Linked DNA regions of Drosophila melanogaster. The protein of the gene in region 1 interacts with the protein of each later gene in a pairwise test. Each region holds a gene or a part of one and is shown on either strand. Other genes may lie near its edges.

Region 1 (5,931 bases):
CTTTGTTTCTGGAAATTAGAATTTTAAATTGCGACTTCAGATGCAGCAATTAGCTGGCACTTTATGGGGGATTGATAGCTAGTCAGGTAGGTAGCCGAGAGCCAGCGGATCGGAACGAACCTATAGCCACCCGGCGATTGTCCCAAGGTCAGTGCAATTGTCTCGCCGCAGCCATTGTTCGCCTCAAATGAGCTAACAATGCTGTTAATTTGCTGTTGGCCAATTGCAATAAACGCCAACGCCGATTCCGTTTATAGATTTAATAGATTGGGCCAACGACAGCCGACCAGGCTCTAATGGGCAATTGGCCATTAAGGCAATGTGAGAACTCGAAAATCGCGCATCATTAGGGGGTCTTAAAGTGGAAAAACGCAACTCCACCCTCTTGGCCAAATGCGCTGACCTGGTTGTTGCCACACGCATCAAACTGGAGCGTGGAGACATCGGGTCTTGCCACACACTGTGCGAACCAAGTTTGGGCTTAAGACCAAAAACTGCCCAATGCGTTGCGTGTCACTGCTCTTGCTGCTGTCACGAAGTTATGTAAGTTCTCTGCAAATGGCGAGCTTCTCTGCCATTTGTCAAGATGTCCAATTGGGCTCAAACCAACTGGCCAATATGCAAACCGCTGATTGGACACCCACAATCGCTCGGCCCGCGGCGCTGCCTAAATATATTTTTCTCTCCCATTTTGACGCCTAATTTTTGTGGCCGCAGGCTTGCTTATTGCCACGAAGAAAAAATATGTACGAAATAGCAAAAAAAAAAAAACAAACGGCAAAGAAATTCGCATTGAACGTGACTTGAGCTGAGCTGTAGACATGAATGTGTTTGATTTTTATCAGCCGGGTCTACAATATTTCAGTTTCAGCCATTTATTTTGCTCTTTTTGCTGTTGCCGTGCTTTTTGCCTTTTGACTGGCGCCCATTGTTACCCGCTGTTTTTATGGTTTTTTTTTCTTTCAGCCCAAAGGCACAGCTGAAACTAGTTTTGTAGTTCCGTTTTTGCTTGGCTGGGGTTTCGCGTCTAGAAGTACTAAAAATCCAGCCTCCCAGCTGCTCGTACATTGGCAGCTACTGCTGGTCAGAATCAGCCAAATTCATCATTAAAACTTATTCATTGAGCCCCCTTTTTTTTAAAGCTAATTATTGTTTGTGATGAGGGACTCGACTGATGAGTTCGAGAAATGGGCATTGCTTATTAATGACAGGCCGAGCTGACCTTACGTTTCCCATAATAAGTTTATGCAAGTTTCCTCGGCTCAGTACTTAAGTAACTAACTTTTGAGGAGGATTTCCTCTAAACCATAAATAGTCTCGTACTTGAAGTTAATGAGCGTAGAACTTCACTGAGATAAATCACTTGTAGTGTCATAAATGCTAAACTTAGACATTGATATCATAGACGATCGCTACTATATTACAATAATTTATTTATCTTATATCTTAGTGTCTGAGAACTTAACACACCAAGTATTGGCCACAGTTCTGTGCCCACTTCCTTCGAGCACAGTCCGCAGTTCAAAAGTCTTGGCCTGCCACTCCCCTTTTAAGGCTTGGATTTGAAAGTGTTTGGAATGAATTGAACAACCTCGTGGTCGGTCGACTGCAGTCGCGGGGTTTTGCGTGGGGTTGATCTAAGGTAAAAGCCTGCATTTAAGTCCGCTTGAGTTTGCCAATGTTGGTTTAATTCGCCAGTGGTGGTGGAGGAGGCTGGAGAGTGGGGGATCAACTAGCCAGACGACTTTTCATTTTGGCCGAAAACAAACAAGCAACCCAATGCAGAGTGTCCGTTTAACGGGGGGCAAGCGAAGCTTGTGACTCACGGCTGGGTTTGGGGCACGCCTTTCGCTAGCATTTGGGTTTTTGCATAATTAGTGCTGAGCGCCAACGTGTCGTATGAGTAATGCAGTCGCGAAGTTCGTTGCCTAAGTCTTTCGTTTCAACTGTAAATCAATACCAACGAGCAGGCGGAAATCTAACGCTGAAAAGGTCTTGGCCTGGTTGAATGACCTCACCATTTTTGGCGCTTTCTTTGTTAGTTCTTCCGCGGGAGATTATAAATCAATCACACAGCTTTTGGCAATCAAGCCCACACGCATTTCTCGGCTTAGTTCATAAACCCCCAAAAATCCGTCATATGTCTTCACTTCTCTCACTTAGCTGAGCACACACATCGCCAGGCAGCAAAATAATACGAAATTATACGTACAATCATATTTTCCGTCTTTACCTTATTTTGTGCCCGCTTCAAGGTCACTGCGAGTTGTTGTCTGGCTGTTATATAAACAAGTTAACTACACGATGGCTCAGAAACTGGTATTCGAGCAGCTCGGGCGCAGATTCGCCTTTTAATTATACAAATTTTACGCTTGCGTTGGCGTTCCTCGACGCAAAGCTTTCCGAGAATGCCGGAGAACTTGGAAATATCCAACAGAAGTTGGAGATAAACGCCTTTGGCGGATGAGCCATTATTCACTAGTCAAGGCGTTGTATTCAACGCAGATGAAGACCATTACATTGGCCAACTACAATATTTTGATGGCTAACAAACCACAAATTAACCAATTAATAGGCCATGCATCACCGAAAAGGGAAAGGCCGTGCATCACATTCCCATAGTCCAAAGATGATGCAAGTGTCGGATCGGGATGGGTTCGGGGTTCATCTCTCCATCAATCAACATTTCTAATTGCTTCTTTAGACGCCAACCCGAACACAATGGAACGAACATAATTATGGCTGTGTGATCCGTGGAAGTGCTAAAAGTTCCACAAGGAGAAGAACCCGGTCTCAGCTCATGTGGGTAATGTTGGGTCAGCCAATTAGCAACAGATTCTGGCTTATAATGGCCGCACACGGAGTGGGGGTAAATGTGAATGGACCTTTGATTCCAAGAGCCCGATGACACATTACTTATGCGGTGCGCATCCAGAAATGGGCATTGAAAAACGGGAAAGAAGGCAGGAAAAGCGGATGGAAGACGGATGTCCGTGATGTGGCTACTCAAATAGCCAATTGCCGATGGCCAACCCCATCGCGGCCATATTTGTGTCCCCAGATGATGCAACTGGCTGCGAACTTGGCAGCCAACATCGGCCACTGGCAACCTTGGCAAACAGGTTCAGATCCCCGGACAGATGGCTTCTCAGGCCGCTTTTCAGATAAGGCCCATTTCATTTGCACAGAAAACAGATTGCAACGCTTCTTCAATTTGTTCCCCCGAGTACAAGTATTGGTATTCCGTGAATTCCGAATTTCGAGCGAGGCGAAGTGAAGCCAACCGGTTTGGCTGATGGATTTTTGGCACATCCACAGCGTCGGCGATTTATGAAGTCATCTTTTAAGGCTGTTTTGGGTTTGTTTTTGCAAACGGCACAGCTTTGATTTTCTGCCTGATTTTAACTGTTTCTTTTTGCGGGTTTCGGGTTTCTGGTTATTCGATTATGGCTTTTCAAACAGCAACTCCGCAACACTCACCTCTAGCCAACTTCGCCCTTTTTGCGTAATCCAATTTGTTATGTGTCCGTTGTTGCGATTTCGCTGTGCCTTAAACTGGTTGCCCGGAACGATGATGATTTTAGATATTTTCACGAATTTTGGTTTCACATTAGTTTGATTTTGTTTTTATGTACTTCCTAAGTGTTTTTTTTTTTTTTTGCGGGCTTCCTCTATAATTATTTCGTTTTGTGGCCAACACTCGTTTTACATGTTAACGCTGCGGGAATTGCACATTTAAGAGTTGGCCAAGAGTGGTAAAGAGACGCTAAGAGCTGCTCTTTGTGCGAATTGTGGCAAATAATCCGAGCTGTTGTTGTTGCTGCTGCTGCTGCTGCTATTACGCCGTCTCAACACAAAAGACTGAGGCAACAAACTTCCCGACACTTTTGCACTTCCCCAGAAAACAACGCGAAATATTCAAAAGATTCACAAATCATTCAGCACGTATTTACTGGCCCGGTTCAACCACCCGTCGAGCTTAATCGCTTCCCAAGGGCAACAACAATCAGAGAAAATCACGACAGAAACATCACAGGCACAACAGCAACAACCGCAACTATTTCAAATCTCGGAAACCCATGAACGTCTCTTGGAGCCACGGAAAGCCGTTTCAAATCCACACGCACGATCCAATTAGAACCGGGTAAACGGAGCCATAACCGCAGAGCTACGCCACTCGAAAAACTCACGCACGATTCGGGATCGAAACGAATCGGAATAGCAATCGAAATCGAAGCGATGGGATCGATGGGATAGAGGTTCGTTGAGCGCTGTGGATGTGTCTCGCACACCGACCTGGCCAAGACTGACTGGGCCCGAAACCGAGCCACTCGCACTCCGACGAAAACGCCAAGACGATGGCCGACAACCGGTCTTGCCAAGATTCGGAGTGGCGGCGCTCTGGGATTTTCGGAGCAATTGGCAAGTCTATGTGCGCTCTTCCGACGATCTCTTCACTAAGGCATAGTATAGTATCGCCTCAATTGGCGGTGGCCGCGGTGTCGCTGCCAGTTTTACAGCAGCAACACGTCGTCCAGCTGAGCTGCACTTGATGACCGGCGGGACTGGCGGCCACGCTCCGCTGGCTCCCTTTAATACACCTACGGCTGCGGGTCCAGATTGTCTTTCTAATGAGTGCGGCATAATTAGAGGGTCGGGCGGCGGTCATCCCATATCGCAAGTGTGCACATAGAGAAACATTGGGCTGGAAACCTCAACAAAAAACCCTATATTCCCTAGCTAAGGTTTTTTTAAATTTAAATATTTTTTGCCATATTCTTTAATGTTTGTTTGTGATTAAAATTTATAAAAATGCTTTGATTCGAAGCACTCTAGACTAAGTTTCCAAGTATCCAGGTGGTATCCAAGTGTCTTTGGAGCGCCTCCAGGCCAACGTCATGCTTTCGGCCACAGCTGTGCGCTCGCAACTGGAAGTCAGGTTCTGCTCAAACTTGGCAGCAGATCGGTGCAATTATGGCCAGTGTGTGGGCTGTCACCAGAACACCTTGATGACGGCATATATGGCCACTGGTGGGGCTGACTGCTTGGACTGACGAGGCTTCTCTGTGGGACACATGCTGCTCTTCTTTTGTTTTACTCGGTAGGCACATAAATCTTGAACTTGTCTCTACATTCTGTGAACCCAGCGCCCTTGCAACCTCGAGATCCCAGGTGCGAGTACAGGTAGCTGTGACACCTCGGAGACCCCGAGTTGTTGTTACTTTCTGCCGTATTTCCCTTGAAGCTGCCCGTCGCTGTTTATACTTTAGTTCTATCAATATTTATTATTATTATGCGTGTTCCTCTGTTTCGGTTATACATGTGTGGGGAAAACTTGGATGAAGTGGACGAATTATTCTTTTGAGACGTGAGAGAATTCTACAAGGACTGGGATGGGTAAATCCCTCACCATTTGGCATTATAGGTACTTTACACAAATAAAATATAAGCATATATTTATGAGTGGAAATTTTTTAAATAATTTAAAATGTATTATTTATTTATTATATATTTATGTTAAAATAGTTAAGCAAGCTCTTAAGAGCATGGCCTGCCCACCTTATTGACTATAAATAAATTTAAATAAAAAATTTTCCAACTCCTCAATCCGTCGAAAAGGGGAAGTCCAAGCGACAGTCGTCGGGGGGACAATCGAACAAACCGAAAACCACCCCATTGAACAGCAACAGGACATGGAGTTCCGGAGGGACCAGGCCGATTCCCAAAAGGCGGCCGGGGGATTCAGGACTACGTAGCCGGGGTAACTGTCACTGTTTGGCGTCCGGAAAATTTATTAACTCCAGCCGAATTTATAGTATTAACCTTGATATAGCCGTGTGGAGCTACTAGCAAATTAAATCTGAGAAAAATTCAATGTGTGTAGATTGTCCAGGTCTTTTATCAAATCACAATCGTTGTTGCAAGAAACTT
Region 2 (6,226 bases), on another chromosome or scaffold:
TATATATATATATATTTCTGAATAAATGTTTAGCAACCTAAAGCTGGCAATTAAATTTCACCAGTCAATATTCTTTAGAATTATGCATAAGCGTTGTAAACAATATAATAAGAATGCCAGTAATGGCCTTTGAAATAGCTGTTCAGAGTCTAATGAAACCCATAATTTGCTTCTAACTGATACCCTAAAAAATCGAATCAGCCATCAGAAATCAGAAATCGGAGCCAAAACCGGTTGGCATCATTGATTCAATAAGCATTCAACTTAGCATCGATCTGCGAGTCGATAGCTGATTTATATAGCACGAATGCAACCGCGGAATGCCTGAATGTCTGAATGTTTGAATGTCGGATACTTTTTCGTATAATTTGCACGCAATGAATGTGCAAGCAACACGAGACATTAATTACATATATGTGATGATGACATCACCATCACCAAGTCATCTGTTGGTTTGCAGATTTCAATTGCATGCAGTCGCCTCAAATGTCAGATGAAAGTTGCAGTTGGTTGGATAATTCGTACCTGCATAATAGTTGGTTTGGTTTTTAGGTTCAGTTTTTAGTTGTCTTTCCGATTCACACGCAAACATCGAAAAATGAGTAAGACTGCGAAAGCTGGGAGTTGATTTATTTTTTTTTGCATATTTGTGTATAGTAACTTGACTTTATATAACCAACGTGCCGAAAGTGATTAGCTTTGATTGATTTGTGTTTTCTGATGAGTATTTTGCATATATACATTTGGGTATATACCCTCTTCGGTTAAATTTTACTGTGGCTTGGAGTCAATGAATCGCTAGTTTCTCGCTTAACACGTATACGCACCGTGTGCAGCTGCAAATTGGCCGTTTAAAACCTGTCTGCGCTGAACCGCAACAGCCGCAGCAGGATTACGTAACTTTCCCTGTATCTTGCGAATTACGCTGCTGACCATGAGCATCGGTTTTTAGCTGATAGCTGAAAAGCTATCTTTGCCAAAACTCTAATTGTTACCGAATTCGGCGCAATCACGAAACTCATAACTTCATGTTGACCCCAAACCAAAAATAAAAAATAAAAACGAAAAAAAAACCCCAGCACAATAAGAGACACAGAAAATTATCATTATTATCAAAACATTGTCATCAAACCAAAAGAAAAAAAAAAACAAGGGGGCTAAGAGAAAAACTAGAAACACTTGGCCGCTGGCGTTGGTTTTGAATTTCTAGCTGCAACTTTTATTGGATGGCCAGCGTGCTAAGCATGGCTGGCTTTTAAGCATAAACATGGCCAACGGCGAAGACACGAAGAAATAGTGCCGAAGAAAAATCCAACCAACTGAACAAGCAAAACCAAAACCAAAAGCAAGTTCTGTTATGCACAGTGGGTTAGTTACATGGGGGGTTTTTACTCTCATATCTGAACTATGGTAACTATGGGAGCTGCAGATACACCATATAGATAAGCCCATTGAAAACGCTTTTCCTAGCTTAATGATAATACTGGTTGGATAAGGGCTTATGTCAAAGCATTTCCTCGATATGCCTTTTGCCATCACGATTGTCACATTCGGGCGAAAAGTGAAAGCAATAAATGAAATGCATATAAGCACATTAAATTTCACTCATTGATCCATTTGGTATTGGCATTTGTACTGGTCTCACTATCGCCTAAAGGCAATTCCCCAGATTGCAGTCTTGCTGCCAAATGACCAAAGAGTGGCCTTTTCACTCGAATTTCCAACGGATTTCGGTAGCGAGTATCATTTTTGGTCCGTTGACAAATGACATAAGCACTCCTCCTGCGGCCATCGAAAGGCGAACAAACTGAACGACAAAAGACCGAAAATCGTGCTCATATAAGGCCAGTGTACCAGCCAACATTTGGCTGATACTTTCAGGGTCAACCGGTGCGTAATCAATGGAATCACCCACCCACGCAAAGGCAAAAGCTGAGTTCGGTTCAACGTTTTGCGGAAATTGAAACTGAAGGTGGATGGCAGTCTTAAGATGCTCGAAATGCAATTACACTGCGCCAAAAAGCAAATTGTTGGCAAATAAGCGAGTTGAGCATGCACTGGAAAAATTGATGTGCCCGAAAAATACTACAATAAGATGAAAATACTAGATGAATTTTAATATTTAGTTATAAATCAGCTTGATCCTAAGTCATTTAAAAACGAAATCATTAAACATATTGTAGTAGTATTGAACACACTTAAAAGTTTAAGCACTTCGTTTTAATTTGATTGTAATTTATATTCTCAAGTGAGTTTAGCTTATGTTCAGATGATCTAATTTAGATATGAGACATGTGTCCTTGGATTTTTCTCTCTGTATTCTCGTCTATGCATCCACACAACTTCCCTTCATATACATATATACATATATAGAGATATGGGAATGTATTCCGCGGCATGGTTGTGGGCTACAAAATAAATAAAAATACAAAAACTGGCTTACCTTCTCTCCTCATTGTTATACAGTTGAACTGGCCGTGCTGTTGGTATTGTTTCGCTTATTTATTGTTAACGCTTTTTGCCAGCCAATGCGACAGGTTGTTAGTTTTTGGCCGCTGTACACATTTCATTACACTTCACTTGGCTGCTGCTGCACCGAAAATCGAGAAAACAAACATTGCCAATGTGATTTGGTTGTGTGGAGAAAAATATTAATGTAAATTGGAAATATGAAGGCGATGACATCGTCGCCGCTGACGCTTTGCAAATGTGCTTGTGCGCGTGTGTGTGTGTGTGTGGGCCAAAAACCTTTACTAGTTCTGACCAAAATGGCAGCCAACACATTAATACACGGAATGATATAATCGCCAGCGCCGCCATGAATGAATGAATGAAAGGCGTTGCAGCTTCTCGCAAGTTGGCTCGAATCGGTCGGTGCGAGGCGGCCTAAACACAATGGCCAAGACATCGGAACTCGTCTAACTCGGCTCAAATCTTCTTGGCCCAGGCACTGTTTTACATTTTTGTTTCGCTTTTTGCGGCGGCACAGCAAATTGCAGCGCCATAATGAAATCGCCCATAATCTTGGCTAAGGCTAATAATAGCAGCAGGTTTTGGAGCTGGCCAACACACAAATACACACACAAACACACTCGCACACACTTTGGCTTAGACACAGACACATACAGATGGCGAGCAAATTTGGCCAGCACTCTGTTTGTTCTTTTCTTTTTCTTATTTTTCTCGCCAACAGATCGGGCGTATACTTCACGTCGAAAAAATTCAAATGACACTCACGTAATCCGCTAAAAATAGTTGCTTTTGCTGCGCGTTATTTATCTCAGATTTTTTTTTTTTTTTTTCGTTGGAGTAAAACTTTGTTTTGTTTGTTTGGCAATCGCGGAGATTGCAAAATGCACCGTGGTCCGGTGGGAAAAATCGAAGCGAACGCGTTGCGATCACGGCTCAAACTGATCGCTCGAGAGTTGCGACAATGTTCCAGCACCTGTGAGAGTGGTCTAAACTGGTCTAAAACGCGTCTCGAACCGGTTGCGCTCTTGGCCAACTCAATCCTCACTATCGACTCTTCGGGCTCTTTCCCAACTATACTCTCCCCATCTCTCTCACTCTCTGTGGCTTTCTTGGCCTGGCCGTGCCGGTCTCCACCATCTGCACTTTGCACTTTTGGCGACTGCATTTTGTTGTCAAACTGCAAAAACTGCATTTAATAACCGTTAACCGAAACTTCTGCAACACGTGCACTGCATTCGCACACAGAGAAAAAAAAGGTGACGAAAGATTCTCTTTCTATGAAATTCTTAGATAGAAGTTTAGAATTTTTTGGTGGTGGTATGATAAGTAAACTTATGGTTAGTTTTATAAGAAAATATTTAAAAGATGTTTTTTATTTTTATCTTTATTTAAATCATAGACTTTGATACTTTTACTTTAACATAAAATATAATCATCTTGCTTATAATTTGTCACATTATCTCCCTATGAATATTTTTTCAGTGCACCGGGAGGTAAAGTGGGTGGTGGGAGGAGTTGGTGTTGGTTGTGGTAGTGAGGGAGCGTTACAGGGGTTACAGGGAGGTGAACTGTATTGGGGGCTTACTACATTAGGCTCCACTGGCTGACAGGCACCGCTGTTGGCCAGCTGCCGCACGTGACTGTGCAATGCTTTTGACTGCTGGCTGGAGCATTGGGGGTCATGTTGGCTGGCGGCAGAAGTTGGGGGCTTAATTTGCATCATGTCATTAGGATGAGTGGCATCGATAATGGGGCCAGAGGCCCAACTCTCTGGGTCACTTTTCCCCGCACATCCCCCTCTCTCTGTAAACGTTTAAGGTTGCAATTTATACGCTGAATGGTATTCAAAATAGTCAGTCATGTAAAAAAAAAATATTACATGCCATATTTTTCGTACATTGTATGCATTTGTGTGAAAATATTGCGCGAAATTTTCAAACAACTTTCGTGCAACTTCCGTTTGCGCAGTTAGCATTAGTTTATTTTCTATTTTGCAATTATAATTTGAAAAAATATAAATAATGTATATATTATTTAAAAATTTAATTTTCATTTAATATGGCTTCCAACTGGACTGAAAAGTGTACTTACCAGCAGTTGTTTAACTTTCCTCTGAAACAGAGATATGTGAAATATTTGTTCACCATCTCCAGCGTGTCAAATCCTTACTAATTTTTTTATTTGCTCCGTACAGCGAATGTCGTCCTGTTCTAAGTTGGATATCTTTGATTCTGACACGAACAGGATCCTGTGCATACTTTGTGCATTGTCTATTTCAGGTTTTTCTCCTGCCAGCACTTTTTTTTTTGCACACACATTCAGTGTGCAGAGGTGGATGGACTTTTTTTTTGTTAAATCCCTCACTCGGTTCCTTAGGGTAGTAGTAGTTCGTAGTAGTTCGTTCGTTACTTTTTGTTGACTTTACGCATCAGGCGCAGCTCGAGAAGGTCTGGTGTTTGTTCTTTGGCACTGCAAGTCGTAAAAAGTTTTTTCGTCCTCGGCTGGTGTCATAAAAGTTGCATAAAACTGCACAGATTTCTCAGTCGTGAGTGTCGTGAAAAAGTTTAGATTGTGCCTTAAATACAATGAGACCATCTACATATGTACACTTACATATGTATCGTCTCAAAGGATCGCTTTAAGGTGACCCCTTTAAGTGGCAAAGTCGTTCGTACGTCATGTGCTTAAAATGGCTGAAAAAAGACTGGGAAAAATCGACGGGTTCGCATGTGTCGGGATTTAATTTAGATAAAAGCTTTTCCACACTTTCACTCCGGACCTTTGACGTGCACCAGATAATGCCTCAAATCAATTCCGTAAACATTTTCCCGGCCGCAACCCCGACAGCAAGACGACAATTTGTTTTCATACCTCTGACATTTGGACTGTCGTTGGGATTGATTCTAGCTTATCAGTAGATGAAAGTTCTCTGGAAAATTAAATTACTAACAAAAATAAATTACCTGCAAGCTGATAACAAATCTTACTCGTCTAGCAGCAATTACTTATCAATTAAAACGGATAGAAGTGATGATTGATTTCTGCTTGTCAATTGGTGCGCTTCGTCACTACGTAAAATGTCGTCTACAGTTAGTTGAAATGCACCATCTGTATTCCATTTCATAGCCATTCCATATTTACCATTTCCCACCTATTTTGGAACCCCTTTGAATTTCCAACGAATTGCACGCTGAATAAAAGACACTTGCTAGTTAATTATTCATTGACATTTATTGATTGAATTTGATAATGTTTTTTTTTATTTTCTGCAGCATTTGTTGAATTTACATTGAATATGTTTTAGGGGGTTTCGTCCTCGTTTTCATTCTTAGTTTCCCTATCGCTTTCGTATCGATTCCTTTTTGATTTGATATTAACTGTGGCACAGACACACATTTATGTACTTAGCTATAGTTTAGAGTTGTTTGCTATTCAGATACATCCATTCAGATATTTACGGAGGGGAGCTTAGGAACCTGAATTGCGGCCCATTGGTATTTGCATTCACATTTAAAAAACTATATTCTTTACGCTTGGTTTCAAGTAGTTTCCTTCAAAATATTGATATCAAGATTCGGCGGTGGATTGTTTAATTAGTTCTGTTATGGCATACAAAAAATAGTTTCAAGTCCCTAGTATCTTTTTTTTTTTGTTTTGTTGGTTGGGAATTATGTGCCCTGAATAAAACGGGGAAATAAATACATGTTACCTTTTTTTATCATCGAAAATAGTTGCAGTTTTTTTTTTGTCTCAG

What was found. The genes of interacting proteins can lie anywhere in the genome.
Region 2: the proteins of pio (region 1) and CG14830 interact in a two-hybrid assay, tested with the Drosophila melanogaster proteins (one large-scale study listed by BioGRID).

The regions. Positions count from the first base shown.
Region 1 is NT_033778.4:24,579,628-24,585,558, reverse strand, and holds the start of pio (piopio), read right to left. Parts: upstream 4,315-5,931; 5' UTR 4,191-4,314; exon of another isoform or gene 3,719-4,190; 5' UTR 3,481-3,718; intron 1-3,480.
Region 2 is NT_037436.4:7,260,506-7,266,731, forward strand, and holds the start of CG14830 (uncharacterized protein), read right to left. Parts: upstream 3,416-6,226; 5' UTR 3,238-3,415; exon of another isoform or gene 3,127-3,237; intron 2,591-3,126; 5' UTR 2,444-2,590; intron 1-2,443.